3 linked regions of the Rattus norvegicus genome follow. The protein of the gene in region 2 interacts with the protein of the main gene of each other region in a biochemical or structural test. Links are inferred from orthologs where the notes say so. Each region holds a gene or a part of one and is shown on either strand. Other genes may lie near its edges. The genes, in order: Atf3, Ddit3 and Fos.

What was found.
Region 1: the proteins of Ddit3 (region 2) and Atf3 form a complex in vitro, tested with the Homo sapiens proteins (2 studies listed by BioGRID and IntAct, with this or other methods). The link is inferred for Rattus norvegicus from reciprocal best matches to the Homo sapiens genes DDIT3 and ATF3.
Region 3: the proteins of Ddit3 (region 2) and Fos form a complex in vitro, tested with the Homo sapiens proteins (2 studies listed by BioGRID and IntAct, with this or other methods). The link is inferred for Rattus norvegicus from reciprocal best matches to the Homo sapiens genes DDIT3 and FOS.

The regions. Positions count from the first base shown.
Region 1 is NC_086031.1:105,291,759-105,297,999, reverse strand, and holds the start of Atf3 (cyclic AMP-dependent transcription factor ATF-3), read left to right. Parts: upstream 1-2,255; 5' UTR 2,256-2,408; intron 2,409-6,241.
Region 2 is NC_086025.1:64,999,456-65,005,728, forward strand, and holds the start of Ddit3 (DNA damage-inducible transcript 3 protein), read left to right. Parts: upstream 1-2,239; 5' UTR 2,240-2,274; coding exon of another isoform or gene 2,275-2,337; intron 2,338-4,832; coding exon of another isoform or gene 4,833-4,874; 5' UTR 4,875-4,880; intron 4,881-6,045; 5' UTR 6,046-6,065; coding exon 6,066-6,203; exon of another isoform or gene 6,204-6,204; intron 6,205-6,273. Other genes in the region: uncharacterized LOC128125814 homolog, read left to right, coding at 2,275-2,337, 4,833-4,874. UniProt on the Homo sapiens protein: Multifunctional transcription factor in endoplasmic reticulum (ER) stress response. Plays an essential role in the response to a wide variety of cell stresses and induces cell cycle arrest and apoptosis in response to ER stress.
Region 3 is NC_086024.1:110,849,450-110,855,851, forward strand, and holds Fos (protein c-Fos), read left to right. Parts: upstream 1-2,738; 5' UTR 2,739-2,890; coding exon 2,891-3,031; intron 3,032-3,791; coding exon 3,792-4,043; intron 4,044-4,448; coding exon 4,449-4,556; intron 4,557-4,669; coding exon 4,670-5,311; 3' UTR 5,312-5,605; downstream 5,606-6,402. UniProt on the Homo sapiens protein: Nuclear phosphoprotein which forms a tight but non-covalently linked complex with the JUN/AP-1 transcription factor. In the heterodimer, FOS and JUN/AP-1 basic regions each seems to interact with symmetrical DNA half sites.

The sequences.
Region 1 (6,241 bases), on a different chromosome or scaffold from region 2:
TCACGGTTCTGAGGGAACTGCTGGCCTTGCTGCTTGGGTTCTCAAGGCTGTCCACTTGAAGACAGGACCCACTTCCATAAATCTGGCTCGAGTATTAGCAGAACTCCGGTTTAATCCGTAAGACAATAAGGATTTCTGTAGAGGTTCCCAGAGGCTTGGGGGCAGGGTTCGTGTGCCCCCCCCCATCTCCCTGTTACACTGGATAGTGGTGTTTATTTATTTACTCCAGGGCAGCCTGTTAAAGAGATGGGGCAGGTACGAGGAGATCCCAAACAACTTTCATTTCTAGGCACCTGGCATTCTTCGGGGTTGTGCCGACACGCCCCGGGTTTACCTTAGGGCAGGTCGGCTGGAGGGCGGGCGGTGGAGGTGTGGAGCAGGGTGTGGGCGTGGGAGATGGAGGGTGGGGCCCCGAGAGCGTTACCAAGGCAAAAACCAAAGCAAAACATTTGCCTGGCGCTTCCCGCGCGACGCTGCTGCAATCCCGTCAGATCCTGGCAGGATCAAAGGGAATCCCGGGGATGGAACCACCCCAGGCTTCCAGCGAGGACAAGGACAGAGAGATTCCGGGGCCCTGGATGGAGGGCAGGGGCCTGTGAAGGTCGAGAGTCGGCCTTGGACTGAAGGAACCCGGGTGCAGAGAACTTGATTTTGCCCGAAGTGTCTGTCTCTGGGTACGGCGTAATACCGTGTGCGACCTTTTCCGTAACCGTCCGGGTGGCAGGTGCTATGGGGCAGCAGCACGGAACAATTCTGCGTCTCACCCTAAACTACCACCCTGTGACCTTCTGATCGCCTTCCTCTCAAAGGCAGGTGTTAGCAGGTGCCTCTGCCTTTACACCTCGGCGTCCAGCCCGGTGTGCGCCTACGAACGCCTCCCAGGCAGGTGCGCGACTACTGGGCCGCAGCCGTGTGCAGGTCTAACCCTTGATGAGCTATGGGGACCAGTCCGGGGTCTTGCGCTCAGCCCAGACCGTCGGAATCACTGGATCAGAATCGGGAAACTATTTTCGAGGTTCAAACCCAGGTCTGCTGAGGTCTTGGCCTGAAATCGAGCCGTACGCGCCCAGCCTTCCCAGCCACCAGATTAGGGAACAGAGGGCCCGGTGTTCCGGCTTTAAGCGGTGCGTGCTCAGTCCCCGCCACCGGGTCCCTAGCACAGCCCTCTGTTCCTGCATACAGACACTCGAAACCTGGAGACGGTTTTTCTCTAAGTATTTCCCGACGTCCAGGCGGACCCCCACCCCCGCCCAGGCTGGGCGCGTAGAGATCAAAGCGTCCTCTTTCCCGGACTGGCCGAGCCGCCTTTTTCCAGCCCCTTCTTATCCCTGCGCTAGGTGGCCTCTGATCTCTCCAAATCTTTCCCCTTTCTAAGCTCTTGCTTTCGCGGAGAATTCCCTGTTCATTTAAAAACGTTTTGTGGTTGTTATTAAAAACAAAAATGAGCTGACAGCGACCGGTCACTGACACCTTGGGTTCCTGGCGGGTTCTGGGGCCCCTGCGTGTGCACGGCCAGGGCGTGGGAGCACGAAGCCGCCGAATGTCTACGTTAACCCACAGCTGTGAGCGGGGGCCCGCGGCAGCGGAGGTCACAGGGGCCGGTAACCGTGTGGATTCACCGGAGTGTAACTTTGGGTACCTCCTTCACGCGGGATATCGTCTCCGCTACCCCTTCCCCGCCTCCTCCTTAGGCTAGGCCGCTGGCCAGAGAAGGCGCCTTTTCCTGAAGTTTTAGAAAAATGACCACGCATTTTAGAGAAAGGTCGTGCCCGCTTCCCAGCCTCACCTAGTCTGGGCCACTGCCAGGACCCGCCTCCCAGCACCCCTCCCCCACCCCCATCCCAACCTAGCGGAGGGAGAGATGCCAGGGCGGTGGAGTCATGCCGCTGGCTTGGGCACCATTGGCTCATGCCTGGAACACGCAGCGGCGAATACGCACATCTGGCGGTGCGCCCGGGCGGCTCCCGGCCTGATATGGAGATAGAGGGCGGGCGGGTGTGTGTGTCCCGGGCGTGCGAGGCGCGTAGGACGCGCTGTGACCGCCCCTTCTCGCACTTGCATCACCAAGTCCGCGGTCTCCACCCACCTTTTGCCCCGCCCTCGTCCCTCCTTCACCCCTCCTCTGGCCAGTTCTCCCTGGAAGCTATTAATAGCATTACGTCAGCCTGGGATTGGTAACCAGGAGTTAAGCGGGCTCCCTGCCAGCGCGAGGGCTTTAAAAGGGGTGATGCAACGCGCTCCCAGTCACAGTCTCACTCAGCGAGACGCGCGGTGCACGGTGCTTCCCCGGCGGAGCCGACCGACCAACCCGCGCTCCGGCAGAGTCCTTGGCGCTCGCCTGCCGGCGGGACAGACAGCCCGCCTCTAGCCGCTCTCTGGACCCTGGCCGCCCCGAGCGAAGACTGGAGGTGAGCATTAGAACCACGCCGAGGAGCGCTGCCCTCCCCACCCTAAGTTCCCCTCTGGTGACCATCCCCCGGACCCTTGTGCCACTGGGGACCCGAGCCCTAGTTTCCGCACCACAGTCGCTCGGCTGAGCTGTTCTTCTCCGCCGCCGCTCCCGGCTGGGGAAAAGTTTCTGGTAAAGTGAAAGAACGAACTTTCTCTTTTGACTTGAGGCGTGAAAGATGCCCTGGGAGGAGATCGCGCGCTCTCAGCTCGCAACTAGGAGAGGTCCTCTGGGTGGGTGGTGGGTGCTGGTGCGCGGGGGTGACCCACACTCTGGGGGTCGCGGTCCTCTCCTCCGTCCATCACTTTGTGTCTGGGCTCTGGAGTAGGAGTGGGTCCCTCCTGAGTCCGCGGAGAGGTGTGGTGGCCCTGGCTTGTGGAAGCGCTGCTCCGGGTACGGAGCTAAATGAATGGAGAAGGAACACTCGGTCGGAGGTCCGCACAGCCGCAGGAGGTCGCCTTGCGCTCCGCGGAGCAGAGCTCCGGGCCGCAGGATCTCGTAGAGGGCTGGGAGCGAAAGTGAGTCGGGATAAGTTTGGAGGCGGCGAGCGCTGGTGTGGCGCTGTCCCGGGGCTGAAGGCAGAGAGGTCTCCGCACCCGCTAACTTCGGTCGGCTGGGCTTGAGACGTCACTTCCAGCCTCATTCGCTGTTGTGAATTGCTGTGCTCTGGCTGACTTTTAACTGGTCCTTGGATTTCTTGGTGTATTCGAAGTGAGCCGAAGAAATCGGATCAAGCGGGTGGAGGGACCAGGGTGTGGGACCACTTGTACTTGTTGGAGGGAGGGGTCCGGGAGGAGTTGTCTTGTGACAGGGTCTCACTCTGTAATCCAGACTGCTCGTAAACTCCGGGCAATCCTCCTGCCTCAGCATCCCAAGTGCTGAAATTACAGGCCACTATGCCTGACACCTCTCTGCCTGTGTGGGAGCCTGCGCTGCGTGGTTCAGATAGCCAGGTTTTGACAGATTTGTTTCTCGAGTGAAATAATTGAAATAAAAGGAGTCGGGGTGGGGGGAATGCTGAGTGAGGGGGCTCCCCACCCAGCTCTCCTAACGGGTCTCTGAGACAGGGCAGGAATGGGGGCTTCTCCTGCATCTCTGTCTCCTAACTCTCTCCCATTGGGTTGCTTCCCTGCTCCCACCCCATTCTCATTCCCAACTCCCATTTCTGTGTTTTCCTCCTAGCCATTTTATTTTCTTTGATTTCATCACACCAGCTTTCTTATAAACTAAAGGAGTTGCCAAGTCCAATAATTTAAAACGTTTATTCTCCCCTCCCCTGGTTCCACTTTTTTGAGACAAGGTCTCCCCGTGTAACCTGGTCTTACTTTGAGCTTACGGAGATCTTCCAGCTCCAGTCCCCAAGTGCTGAGAAGAAGAGAGCACATGTTTTGCATGTTGCGTTTACTATGGGATAGTGTTACCACACACAGGCTCTTGCTTGGGGGTGGGGCTGAGGCTGGGGTGGGGGTTACTGTTGCTTCTATCTGGAGGGTTCAGAGGCTGCTGACCAGGTGTCCAGAGTGAAGAAGACATCGCCCAGCATCTGTGGCTATCTAAATCCCTTCTCAGGCACACCCGTTTCTTGTAGCCATTCTGTCAGAGCCTCTTCTATGACGGGGTTGGGGGGGGGGTGCAGGACTCTTCAGCCCATAGTTGCCTACCTGGCTGGCAGCTCTGTCCATGATTGCTTACTTGGTTGATCTGTTGAACTGCTGGGTCCTTGTGGTAGTGCAAATCGAGCAAGGGGTGGGTGTGAGCAGCTTGGCTGGACCGGACCACACCCATCTCTGTGAGTTTAGACAAGTGCTACCCCTTCCAGGACCTCAGTTTACTCAATGACAAAATGGGGATTTGATCCAGATAATTCTATGTTCCAGGAGTCTGTGATTCCTTAAGGAACTGGCAACCGGGGGTTCCCCATCACAGGAGGAGGGACATAGTCAGGAAGCCACAGAAACTTCAGGAGAGAAATGGTTTTCTATGTGAGAACTCTCAGTCTCTGTCAATCCAACTATAGTGGAGGAGTGCTGATGTCAGCAAATGGGGTGTAATTCGCCCTGTGTCTTGGGAACTCAGGGGTCAACCACCAGCTTGAAATTCTTGATAGTTCCAGTCAATTCCTGATCAATAGAATTAAACCGAACTGAACTTAATCAGGTTCCCTGAGGGGCTGGGGGGAGGTGGAGTCAGAATGGACATGTGAATACTGATTTTCTAATGTTTGTGCATGTGATGTGTTGTCCCCCCCCCACACACACACACAACCCTGGGAGGGAATTGGCAACCTTGATCACAATTTTCAGATAGGAACTAAGGTCAGAAAGCATCCAGCTCGTAAATGGATGCTCAACTAGTGGGGACCAGAGATAGAACTGGAGAATACTGTCTCATCCCACCCTGAAGCAGCCTCTGCCTCCAGCCTTCAAACAGGAAAAAGAACAGGATGTGGAGTTAGGAAGGCAGCTACTGATTCCCCAGTACTACAGGACGGTTTGCAGACAGCTGGGTGGAAGGAAGTGGAAATCAAAAGTGAAAATTCAGAGCCATCATAAGCTACTTGGAGATAAAAATCTAGGAGCCGAATTTCCAGCTAAATAAGGGAAGTTTCATTTTCTTGAAAATGACGAAATTGCCAACCGTATGTGACATAATTTCTGATTGGTAGTGATGAAACAGAAGTGGAATCTGGAAGCAAATCTGGAAGAGAGTTTTATCATCAGTGCAGAAAGTTAAGTCAGCTCATTCCCAAACCCCCAAACACTCCCTTCTCTGGGGCCTCAGCTTCTGGAATCAAGCTGAAGTTTTAAACTTTCTTTCCCTGGAGGGACACAGCCTGACTTCTAGTCTGACTCTCTGGAGAACTCTGTGCAAGACAAACCAGGAAGGACAAGAGCCCAGATCTTGCAGAGTATGCCCCACGATGATGGGAAAAGTTTTCTTAATGGCTTTTACAATGCAATTGTGTCCCCAAGTGAGCCCCACCCCCCCCCCCCAGCTTTTCACAAAAACATTCCACACCACCACCACCGACATTCCTCGGTTTCTTCCTGAATTTACACTAAGAATGTTGTTGGGGGAAGTCCGAAACAGCAGACTTTAACCTCAAAGGGCTCATTAATAAACGTAACTGGGTGGCTAAAAGGGACATGCTCAACTGCTATGGCTCAAACCAGTTAAGTATAGATGAACTATTCAGTCCTACAGATTGGACGGCCAGGCCAGTGGCAGCTCTGATCTGTTTTCCAGTAAAATGGGGAAGGAGAGTGTGTGTATGGGAGGACGCTGAGCCCCTGACTTCAGAAGTCAAAGAAACAGCATCCCTCAGCCACAAGGTTAAGAGACATTCAGTCCTTGCTCCCGTCTGGGAGAGCATTGAATATACATTTCTCCAGTTCTTTTGACTCTGCAATCACTACCCTGGAATTTCTGCCTCCACCGGGGGCATTAATCTCCAGGGAAAAGCAATCCTGAGGAAGGGCTCCTAACATCATAGAAGGTGAGCAGACCCCAGGGAGTCTCCGAGGGAGAGCAGCCATCCTTCCGTGGGAGTTCCTGGGAGACCCAGTGTAGTTCCTGGTCTAGGCATTTCAAGGCATTTCTTGTATTATTTCCCAAGCTGCTCACCACTCTTGGGGAATTAGGGAACTCATTACCAGCCGTCCTTTGCAGAGGAGAAAGCCACTGGGGTACTGTCACAACACATAACTGAGTGGTCCTCAAACCTCGATTTAAAAAAATAGATTCTGGTGTGGAGATTTCATGGATAAAATGGCTCGTTTAAACTTAGCTCTC
Region 2 (6,273 bases):
GGGGGAGAAACGGCGGGGCAGGTGAGGGTGCGGGGCTGTGGATGGGGCCGGGAAAAGGGGCCGAAAGGACGCGGAGGGGGCAGAGGGTAGGGACAGAAGGGGAGGAGAGAGAAGGGAGGGGGAGGGGCGGGGGGGCCGGGCCCCGCACTCACCGCGGCCCATGGTTCGGCTGGCCCCGCCCTGCGCAGTCGCGGCCCAGAGGGTGAGTGGGAGGGGGTGGGAGGTGGGTCGGTGGAGCCCGAGCCTCCGGTACGGCCCCGGCCGGTCTTAGCAGGAAGCGCCGCCGCCGCCGCCGCCGCGGATCACCGAGCGGCCTCCCGCGCATGCGCCATAGGGGCCAGGGGCAGCCCTGGGGATTCCGTTCCCAGAAGGCACCGCGCAGACTGCTACCGCCGCCGCCGTCGCTGCCGCCGCCACCGCCGCAGCCGCCGCCGCCGCCGCCGCTGCCCGGACGGGAGAGGGGCGGGGCCGGGCCCCCGCCCAGCGGACAGCAGCGAGCCAACAGGAGGGGACGCAGTGCGCATGCGGGAGCGCGCCTACCCCTCCCCCACAACCCCCCATTAATCCCCAAGAGAACAAACACCCCACGCGGCCCCCCCCCGTCCTCCGCGGAAGGATCTGGGCCTCTTCCCAGGCCACTGGTGGCCAATCCCAATCCTCCCTCGGGAGGGGCCCCTTCCGAAGCCACAATCTGTTGGGGGAGTCAGGAATGTCAGGTCCGGGAGGGGCCAGCCCTAAAAGATGAAAGTCGCGACTTGCCCTGCCCCGCCCCAAAGGCTTCCCGGGTAGTGTGCAGAGACTTGACCCGCCTCTCCAGGTCAACATGTCACAACACGACCTCAGCCTGTCAAGTCACATGACCTCTGCCTGTCACTGACAACCTGGTCTGTCTTTAGGCCAGGAGAGACCATCTGGTTCAGCCCACCCCCAACCTCTACTAACAGAAGGGGAAATGAAGGTCTGGAGCGAAGGAGCAGTCTGGCCAAGGACCTGTCACTGTCGCACCATCCAATAGCAACCGGTCTTGGTTCAGTTTCTACTTAGACAAACTCTGGCTTGCCCCTCCCGAGTGTACGACAGACTATGTAATAGGCCACCACATGGCCTCTGTTTTCATGGCACAAAAAATAGGTTTTGCAAGATGTTTTTACTTTTACTCAAGTTTTCTTCACAGTGCTGTTTTTACCTTTACCTATCATTCTTTAATTTACAACTGAGTACGGTAGATTCCTTGGGCAAATTAAACTAGAATGACCCAGTCCAGGCAATCATGCGCTCAAGTGCATGCACGTCCCAGTCTCTAGGTCGTGAACCCAGACACCTAGAGGCATGAGGCCAGCTAATCAGCAGGGAGTCACAGGACTTGCTATCTTGGAGAAGGAAAAGGGTGGGTATTGGGCTTAGTGAAGGGCATAAGAGCATCACACAAAGCAGGGGTAGGATAAGTAGGCAGGAGGCTACACTCTACAAAGAACTTGAATTCTGGCACGCAGTGGACGATTCTGAAACAAACGTTAAAGCTGCCCTTCTGAGAGAAGCGGATGGACTACCAAGGAAATGCCAGTACCTCAGTCTTTGGGAAGCGTTAGAAGGCTAAAAGAGGAGGAGGTCTCTTAAAAGACTCCAGAAGATGTCAATCCAGGTGAACAAATTGGAAACTTTAAAGAGGTTCAAGAGCCTCGGTGCCCATTAGTTGGGAGGGGCCAGGGAAAATGAGTCTTTTATGGAGGAGTAAGTTAAAGGTGATGGGAGGTGGGCAGACAAGTTCAGGAAGGACAGCCGTTGGGGCCGTTGGACACTGTGAGCTGGCGCTCCGCCTTCTTTCCTCTCTCCCCCATCCCCCCCTCCCGCCCGCTCCCCAGCACCTCCCACCACCATCGACGTCTCCTGCGCGTGCGCGCGCGGACACCGGTTGCCAAACATTGCATCATCCCCGCTCCCCCTCCGCCCCCCCCACGTCATCCCCTCCCTCGCCGCACTCTCCTCCGCGCGCGCGCATGACTCACTCACCTCCTCTGCGAAGCCTCGTGACCCAAAGCCACTTCCGGGTCCGAGATAACGTAGACTCTCGAGCCAGAGGGCGCGATGGAGGCGGGGCCACGGGACTCCTGAGTGGCGGACGTGAGGGGTGAGGCGGAGCCTGTGCCAGCGTGCCGCTTTCTGATTGGTAGGCTCCTGGACACTACCCCCCCCCAGGAGGGACCGAATAGCATAAAAGATACTCGCTCTCCGCTCCAGAGGTCAGTATCTTGAGTCTAATACGTCGATCATACCATGTTGAAGATGAGCGGGTGGCAGCGACAGAGCCAAAATAACAGCCGGAACCTGAGGAGAGAGGCGAGTACTGACTCCGTCTACCCCTTACTTTCCCATCCTCGCCAACATAGCTATTCCACAAAGTTAGAGGCAACTGTCCTTGAGGGTGTAGCCCCACCCCTTCCACTGTGAGTTTGTAGACTGAGGGGCGAGTGAAGGCGGGTAATTCCTGATTCGGGAATGGTGCTTACAGGCCACCTCTTTGGGCGATTGCATTCCCGTTCCCTTGTCTCAGGTTGGTCCCTGCTCTGCAAAGGGACTCCGGTTGCCTTCGGAAATTTGTCTCAGTACTGACCATTTGCGGGCCATCTTAGGCCTAGGCGGTTCGCAGGAAAGGTGGGGCAACAGGACACACCCCCCAATGTTGGGGACTCCGGCTGTTAGCACCTCTTCTCCACCAGCCTCATTCCCCCCAACTCTTTCAAGCTGAAGCGCCTCAGGGACCACCAACATGGCCACTTTAGTAGCTGTCTCTAACGTTCAAGACAACTCAAAGACTGACAGATCTTTGCGAGTGGGGGTGCCGGTGGGAGGAGCATAGATGGGTTTTTCCCTTTTCCCCAGAGGTTTCTGGGTTTCCGTACAAGAGAGCAGCCTGGGTCTCTTTAACTATGGGAAATTACTTGGGATCTCTCCAGGGTCTTCTGCTTCTCTTAGGACTGATCTCTGCTTCTTTCCTCAGTCCTGTCTCCCAACTAATCTCTGTAACCGTTGCATCAGGCCAGCCCACTGTTTGTCTCTGCACCCTCAGGCCTGGGGCTCCTCTGCTGATGAAAGCCAGGTCCCACACACTGGAAGACCAAGGAGTTTTCCCTAGAGGACAACCCTGCAGAGAAACACTCAGGGCAATATTGCGTCTGCAGTCCCCAGAGACAGGCAGCTCAGCTCTGCCTTTGGGCTCAGTGGGCTTAGTTGTTCTCTATTCGTTCCTAACAAATGCCTAATAAGCACCCACTATGTGCCAAGCATTTGGGGATCCAGGGTATATTAGAAGCAAAAGACGAAACTGTTCTCAATAAAACTTACATTTCAATGTAAAGCAAAAGGGGGGAAAAACAGAAGCAGGGAAAAAATAGTTCAGGATGGTGGCTAGAGGTTTTATCATTCAGGAATTGCCTCAGTGGGTGGGTGAGATGGAAAGAAGGCAAGCCTGTGAGCCAAGCAGGTAATGTGGAAGAGGTTTATAGAAGGGAGAGAAGGAGCAGAAGGGTTGAGATGAGTGTGCCAGTATCCTTAGGAGCAGGGCAGTGAGCTGGACTAGAGTAAGCAGGAGAGGGTGGTGAATGGAAACTCAAGTAGCAGGTCCTGTAGAGCCTTGCAAGCATTCTCAGGATGCTAGTCTTTCAACAGTCCTGAAACAGGAATCCATTGGGGGATCTGAGCAGAGGAATGTCCTAAATTAAAAGGGTTGGGGAAAGACCCCATGCATTTAATTCCAACACTCAAAGAGGTAGGAGCAGGCAGAGCTCTGAGCTCCAGGCCAGCATAGTCAGATCCTAACTCAAAATAAATACAAAAACAAAGGGTTGAGTGTGTAGCTCAATAGTAGACTGCTTGCCTAGTATGTAGAGGGCCCTAGGTCAACCCGCAGCCATGAAAATAAAAAAGACAAGAATAGAAACAGGAGATCTTAGCTGGAAATAATGGCAAATGCCTTTAACCCCAGCACTTGAAAGGTAGGTAGATCAGAGTTCAAAGCCAGCTAGTCTACAAAGTAAGTTCCAGGACAGCAAAAGCTACACAGCAAGACCCTGTCTAAAAAAAAAAAAAAAAAAAAAAAAAAAAAGATTTCAAGGCTTCCAAAAATAATCTAGGGAATGAAATGCATAATGCATGGTAAGTTTACATCTGGAAATAATGAGAAAAAGTGAGAAATATTTAGGTTTTGGGTACTTCTAAAGAATATTGAAGTTGCCAGTGCTTTAGACTGAGCTGTGGTATCTGAGAAGGGAGGAATTAAGGATACCAAATGTTTGGCTTTAGGCACCTATAGTTGCCATTTAGTAAGAACTGTACCCCCTTGGTAGGAAAGGCCTTTTGTGTAAGCTGAATGCCTGCTCAACAACCAAAAGAGATGGAGATCCCAGGGCAGGTCTGGAGGCTAGGATGGGAATGGAGTTTAAGCAAATACTGCTGAAATCTCTCTTCCCTGTATTTTAGTTCTCACTTTGGCAGATCTGAGGTCTATCTGGATTTAGAGAAAACTTAGTTGGCCAGGACTTTGCTATTATGTAATCAGGACTACAAATGTCAGCAACTAAAAATAAAGTTAAGCATGCCTGTCCTTGGCTTCAGGGACACACACACACACACACACACACACACACACACACACACACACACACACGAGCCTCTCTGTGGCCTGGTCTACAGAGTTGAGTTCCAGAATTCCAGGATGCCCCGGGCTTCACAGAGAAACTGTCTCAAAATCCAATGACAGAAATTAAGAAACCAGCTAGAGAAAGACCAGTAAGAGGCTAGAGGTAAAGGACCTGTTTCTTCCCCTTTCTCCACAGTGTTCCAGAAGGAAGTGCATCTTCATACACCACCACACCTGAAAGCAGGTAATCTTAGCCACCCTCCCAGTCAGCTCCTAATGCTGCTCAACTTGCTTTGCTGGGATGAGAGTTAGACCAGGCCTTGACCAGAACCAGCTTTTGCTGTCAGACCATGTCTTTCTCTGATCCCATAATGTTGTTTTAGAGCTGGCTTGTCTCAAAGTCAGCCTCAAAAATGGCAACTGGTTTGTTTTCCCAATTCTCAGTCCACACCAAGATTAACCCCAAAGGACCTTTAGTTCAAGCTTCCCACACAAGAAAAAAGGAGTACAAATAGCTTGGTAATTGCCCCTAGAAATTACCAGTAGTGTTCCCAAGTGAGTTGAATACTTTTACTGTAATCCTGTAATATGTATGCATAGCCAGGCACAGTGGCTCATTCCTGTATCTCAGAACTTGAGAGGATCCTGAAGTTATCTGTAGTAAATCCCTCTGAATAAAGGGTAGGTTCTGTCAGGTATAGTGATGCACACCTTTAGTCCCAGCACTTGGGAGTTGATCTCTTTGAGTTTGAGGCCAGCATGAGTTCTAGGACAGGCAGGGCTACACAGAGAGACCCTGTCTCAAACAACAAAAGAAGACTGGCAATAGAGTCTGGAGAGAAAGCTTATCAGTTATGCATGCTTGCTGCTTCCTGCTGTACCTAAATCAGGCTTCCTGCAGCCACATCAGGTGGTTCACATAGCCTGGAACTCCAGTTCCAGGAGAGCCAAAGCCTCTGGCCCCAAACACTGATCATGTATACACATGCAAATTAAAAGCTTGAAACAAAATAGTAGAGATAACTAAATAATATTGACATTTACTGATTTAGTTCTTAAATTACATTTATTTGTTTGGGGTTTGTCTGCTGGCCATGGTGTGTATGTGATCATCTGGACATTGAGAGTTGAATCTGGCAGTATTAAACCCAGACTGCTGGGCTTTGGTGGTAGCCATCTCCCCATCCCAACACTCATTTAGTTTGTGTGCAGTGGTGTGCAGGTCAGAGAACAACTTGTGGGAGTTGATTCTCCACCCCCACCCTATTCCAATGTGGCTTTCAAGGAGTGACAACCTATGTATGCCCTTACCTGTTGTGTAAGACCAGTGCACTTTAAATTCTATATGTTAAAACAGGCATGAGATCAGTTCACCAACTGTGGTGAATGGAATGTATGTCCTTTTTCAGAAACCGGTCCAATTACAGTCATGGCAGCTGAGTCTCTGCCTTTCGCCTTTGAGACAGTGTCCAGCTGGGAGCTGGAAGCCTGGTATGAGGATCTGCAGGAGGTCCTGTCCTCAGATGAAATTGGGGGCACCTATATCTCATCCCCAGGAAACGAAGAGGTGAGTGCTGTCTTCGGATGGGCAAGCAGGATGATGGCATGGACCCATAGCCCCAGCACTCCCCCAACCC
Region 3 (6,402 bases), on a different chromosome or scaffold from region 2:
TAGTTCTTTGCTAGGCAAACACAAGAAGGTACAAGACAATGGTCTGTCCTTTTAAAATTGTATTGTTATATATATGTGTGTGTGTGTGTGTGTGTGTGTGTGTGTGTGTGTGTGTGTGTTTTGTCTGCATATATGTATGTGCAATGTATGTGTGCCTGATGCCCAGGGATGCCAGATGAGGGCATTGGAGTCCCTGGAACTGGACTCACAGGCTGTGGGGTAGCCATGTGGCCAAGGGACTTGAACCTGGGTCCTCTGGAAAAGCAGCCAGTGCTCTAACCACTAAGTCATCTCTCCAGTCTCTGGCTTGTCCTTTTCAGAGGACAGATGTATTAGATGTCCAACTCTCTGGCCATAATGATGCCAAGAAGGAAAAAAAGACAAGCTATTTGGAGGAGAAGGCTCACCCAAAGACCTTTTTTTTTTTTTTTTCGTTTTTAATTGCCAAAGTAAGTGATGTACGAGATAAATCCTGGATATAAAATCTTGACACATCTTTGAGGTGTTGGCCAGAGCTGCTTCAAACCTGAAAAGGAAATAAAATCAAATCACTGTGGTTTTTCTCCAAGAGCCCCTGAGATGTGGTTATGAGTGGAAGGCAAGGCCAGACAGAACCAGGAATTCAAAGGTTGACCTACTTTGTCGAAACTAATAAGAGGGAAGAGGTCTGCATAATCTTTCTGTCTCTTCCTTTCATAGTAAAGAACAGTGAAAGCACATGACAGACTAGAATTCACAGAGAACTGAAGGCCAATGAAATCGCTTCAGGATTGACCGGCTATACGAAGCCTGTGTTTCTACATCATGTTGTCCTCTTTCCCTTCCCCCTCTTTCGAGTGAGAAAAAAAAGCGCCTAAATTCACACCAACATAAACTAATGACATACAATGATGAAATTCTGTTTTCACCTCTGCCTGTGACAGGGAATGCAAAAATAGCAAGTGGCCTATTTCCACGAATCCCCGCCTCCCTGCCCTCCCCGCTCCTGCTGGGTTTGGATCTCTAAGAATGGAGGCTAGCGCATAGGCAGGAGCCAGCCGGGATCGGCCCCCCAACCCGAGGGTGATGTCAGTCGGCGGAGCGGCCGCAGCCTGGCCAGGGAGGCCACGGCTCTTGGGGAGCAGGGAGGGCGGGTGGCCTGGATGGGCGGACCGTGAGCCCGGCCGCGCGGCGTCGCCTGGAGACGGCCCTGGCGGCGCTGTGTTGCTGTAAACAGCCGCTTCGCTGTTACTATCTATAGCAAAATCGCCTAGCTCCCGGGTGCGGCGGCCCAGGGCAGGTTTGTGGTTCTGCACCTCTTGGGCCCCTGAAGATCCATCCGCTGCCCCAATCCTCTCTAGTCCGTCTCGGAATGCCCACCAGTTAGTTTGACCCTTGGGATCCACAGAATGGAGAAGAGGGGACACATGAGTTCTGCGAGGATCTGCGGTTTCCTTTCCCAGAGGTGACCAGCGCTCTGGGGCCGAGCCCAGTCAGTCTAACCCGGCTTGTCCTCTGCTGAAGGACAGGAGACTGAGGGCAAGTAGGGGTGTGTTTGTTCTACACCGAAGCACCCGGCATCTCCAAAGTTCCATCTTCCAAGACTCAAAGCTGTGCTCAAAGCAGACGCCAACATCTCTGCACAGCTGGGAACCGTGCTTCCAGTCCGTCCTCCCCTCCTCCCCCATCCCCCCCTCCCCAAGTCCGAACTGGAAAATCACCCGCTGCGGGTTCCTTGTAAGCGCAGTTTCCAGGCTGCACGGATTCAGGTCCCCACCTCCCCTGTGCACCGAATTGCCTTCTTCCCGGGAGCTCACCTCACTTGTAATTCTGAGCAGACCCCTGCCTTCACTCGCCCTCTGGCCTCCGCTCAAAACTGAGCAAACGACCCCTTCAGGCATCCTTGCAGGGTGGTTTTGCACAATGTTTATCCGTCAGTGTCTCCCGGGACAGTCACCCTGATTGTTCTAAGTGGCCAAGGGTCGGGGAGTGGGTGCTGTCGTCCTTTAAAACACGAATGTATGAATGAACTCAGTATTGTAGGTAAAGCGGGTTATTGAATACTTACTTAGAATCCTTCACTTACTGCTTCCAACCTCAGGCCTAATGTTGCACTGATTTGGGACGGAGAGAGGTCTGATGTGGGCTAGCTTTCCTTTGGGAACAGAGACTTGGAGCCTTTAGGGCTGCGTGCCTGCTTCTCCTAATACCAGAGACTTTTTTAAAAAGCTCCAGATTGCTGGACAATGGAAAGGAGATGACCCCCAGTCTCATCCCCTGACCCTGGGAACAGAGTACACATTGAATCAGGTGCGAATGTTCGCTCGCCTTCTCTGCCTTTCCCGCCTCCCCTCCCCCGGCCGCGGCCCCCGCTCCCCCCTTGCGCTGCACCCTCAGAGTTGGCTGCAGCCGGCGAGCTGTTCCCGTCAATCCCTCCCTCCTTTACACAGGATGTCCATATTAGGACATCTGCGTCAGCAGGTTTCCACGGCCGGTCCCTGTTGTCCTGGGGGGAACCATCCCCGAAATCCTACATGCGGAGGGTCCAGGAGACCTTCTAAGATCCCAATTGTGAACACTCATAGGTGAAAGTTACAGACTGAGACGGGGGTTGAGAGCCTGGGGCGTAGAGTTGATGACAGGGAGCCCGCAGAGGGCATTCGGGAGCGCTTTCCCCCCTCCAGTTTCTCTGTTCCGCTCATGACGTAGTAAGCCATTCAAGCGCTTCTATAAAGCGGCCAGCTGAGGCGCCTACTACTCCAACCGCGATTGCAGCTAGCAACTGAGAAGACTGGATAGAGCCGGCGGAGCCGCGAACGAGCAGTGACCGCGCTCCCACCCAGCTCTGCTCTGCAGCTCCCACCAGTGTCTACCCCTGGACCCCTCGCCGAGCTTTGCCCAAACCACGACCATGATGTTCTCGGGTTTCAACGCGGACTACGAGGCGTCATCCTCCCGCTGCAGTAGCGCCTCCCCGGCCGGGGACAGCCTTTCCTACTACCATTCCCCAGCCGACTCCTTCTCCAGCATGGGCTCCCCTGTCAACACACAGGTGAGTTTGGCTTTGTGCAGTCGCCAGGTCCGCGCTGGGGGTCGCCGAGGAGGGCACATTGGGGTGTGACTGTCAGGGAAGAGTAGGGGTCTTCCTTGTTTGCTCCGGAGGGAGACTGGCGCGGTCAGAGCAGCCCTAGCCTGGGAACCCAGGACTTGTCTGAGCGCGTGCACACTTGTCATACTAAGACTTAGTGACCCCCCTCCCGCGCGGCAGGTTTACTCTGAGTGTCCTGCGCTCTTCTCTCGGTGACTTGTTTCTGAGATCAGCCGGGGCCAACAAGTCTCTAGCAAAGACTCGCTAACTAGAGCCTGGGAGGCGGCAAACGGCGGCAATCCCCCCTCCCGGGGCAGCCTGGAGCAGGGAGAAGGGAGGAGGGAGGAGGGTGCTGCGAGCCGGTGTGTAAGGCAGTTTCATTGATAAAAAGCGAGTTCATTCTGGAGACTCCGGAGCAGCGCCTGCGTCAGCGCAGACGTCAGGGATATTTATAACAAACCCCCTTTCGAGCGAGTGATGCTGAAGGGATAACGGGAACGCAGCAGTAGGATGGAGGAGAAAGGCTGAGCTGCGGAATTCAGGGGAGGATAGAGGATATTGGGAGACCTTTTTATCTCGGATGAAGTGCATACAGGAAGACACAAGCAGTCTCTGACCAGAATGCTTCTCTCTCCCTGCTTCATGCGACACTAGGGCCACTTGCTCCACCTGTGTCTGGAACCTCCTCGCTCACCTCCGCTTTCCTCTTTTTGTTTTGTTTCAGGACTTTTGCGCAGATCTGTCCGTCTCTAGTGCCAACTTTATCCCCACGGTGACAGCCATCTCCACCAGCCCAGACCTGCAGTGGCTGGTGCAGCCCACTCTGGTCTCCTCCGTGGCCCCATCGCAGACCAGAGCGCCCCATCCTTACGGACTCCCCACCCCGTCGACCGGGGCTTACGCCAGAGCGGGAGTGGTGAAGACCATGTCAGGCGGCAGAGCGCAGAGCATCGGCAGAAGGGGCAAAGTAGAGCAGGTGAGTAGCGATTCTGGACCTGCGCGGGGAGTTGGGGGGGGGCGGGGGGGACGGACGCACAGGCGACACGGCAGAGTGGGTGAAACCCTACGCTACTGACTGCACTTCCTGACCAGGGACCGTGGCTGCAGCCCTTTCCCACCCTCGTCAGACACTGACAGTTGGCCCCAAGAAATACTCTAGTTTCCCTGACAGCTTCCAACCACATTCTCTAGCTTGGGAGCTTCTTTGTTCCCCTCCTAAAGATCTCACTTTAAATGCAAATCACACTCAGCCTGCCAACTGCAGGTTAGAAAAACTGCTTCACCGTGAGAGGTGCGGGTGCTGTAGGAGCCAGTTTCACTGGGGTGACTGAACAGAGGTGACACTAGACCACCTTATTGAATGTTGGTCCTTTTCTTATAGCTATCTCCTGAAGAGGAAGAGAAACGGAGAATCCGAAGGGAAAGGAATAAGATGGCTGCAGCCAAGTGCCGGAATCGGAGGAGGGAGCTGACAGATACGCTCCAAGCGGTAGGTTGAACCAGCTGCTGCTCCTGAAACTTTATTAAAGTTGGAGGTTGGGACTATGGGGTCAGGGTCCTTGAGGAAACCTGTGTCTTATGCTTTCTTACATCTCTGTGCAGGAGACAGATCAACTTGAAGACGAGAAGTCTGCGTTGCAGACCGAGATTGCCAATCTACTGAAAGAGAAGGAAAAACTGGAGTTTATTTTGGCAGCCCACCGACCTGCCTGCAAGATCCCCAATGACCTGGGCTTCCCAGAGGAGATGTCTGTGACCTCCCTGGACTTGACTGGGGGTCTGCCTGAGGCTACCACCCCAGAGTCTGAGGAGGCCTTCACCCTGCCTCTTCTCAATGACCCTGAGCCCAAGCCATCCTTGGAGCCGGTCAAGAACATTAGCAACATGGAGCTGAAGGCTGAACCCTTTGATGACTTCTTGTTTCCGGCATCATCTAGGCCCAGTGGCTCGGAGACTGCCCGCTCTGTGCCAGATGTGGACCTGTCTGGTTCCTTCTATGCAGCAGACTGGGAGCCTCTGCACAGCAGTTCCCTGGGGATGGGGCCCATGGTCACAGAGCTGGAGCCCCTGTGCACTCCCGTTGTCACCTGCACTCCCAGCTGCACTACCTATACGTCTTCCTTTGTCTTCACCTACCCCGAGGCTGACTCCTTCCCTAGCTGCGCAGCTGCCCACCGAAAGGGCAGCAGCAGCAACGAGCCCTCCTCTGACTCACTGAGCTCGCCCACACTGCTAGCCCTGTGAGCAGTCAGAGAAGGCAGGGCAGCCGGCACTGACTGAGCTGGTGCATTACAGAGAGAAGAAACAAGTCTTCCCTCGAGGGGTTCCCGTAGACCTAGGGAGGACCTTATCTGTGCGTGAAACACACCAGGCTGTGGACCTCAAGGACTTGAAAGCATCCACATCTGGACTCCAGTCCTCACCTCTTCCGGAGATGTAGCAAAAAAACAAAAAAACAAAACAAAAAAAAAACAAAACAAAAAATCAAAAGCAACCGCATGGAGTGTATTGTTTGTAGTGACACCTGAGAGCTGGTAGTTAGTAGCATGTGAGCCAGGCCTGGGTCTGTGTCTCTTTTCTCTTTCTCCTTAGTCTTCTCATAGCATTAACTAATCTGTTGGGTTCATTATTGGAATTAACCTGGTGCTGGATATTTTTCGGATTGTATCTAGTGCAGCTGATTTTAACAATACCTACTGTGTTCCTGGCAATAGTGTGTTCCAATTTAGAAATGACCAATATTAAACTAAGAAAAGATAGAACTTTATTTTCCGGTAGATAGAAATAAATCGCTATATCCACGTACTGTAGCTCTTCAGCGTCCATGTTCATTGTCATGTAACTGATCATGCATTGTTGAGGTGGTCTGAATGTTCTGACATTAACAGTTTTCCATGAAAACGTTTTATTGTGTTTTCAATTTATTTATTAAGATGGATTCTCAGATATTTATATTTTTATTTTATTTTTTTCTATCCTGAGGTCTTTCGACATGTGGAAAGTGAATTTGAATGAAAAAATTTTAAGCATTGTTTGCTTATTGTTCCAAGACATTGTCAATAAAAGCATTTAAGTTGAATGCGACCACCTCGTTGCTCTTTTATTCTGAGAGTTTTGGAAGTTTCGGGAAGGCCTTGGAGAGAGACCAGTTTGTCAAGATGGGTGGGTCCTGGAGGGGGACACGCCCTCTGTTCCCTTATCACTCAGAGGAAACGCTAGTTCAGGGTATTTTACAGATATGTGTGTTCATATTGCATTGCTAAGATTTTCTACCTGCCTGCCCTGGGGGCTGAGAGTTGCCTGTAACAGCTTGTGCAAGGCTGACGTGCCTTCCT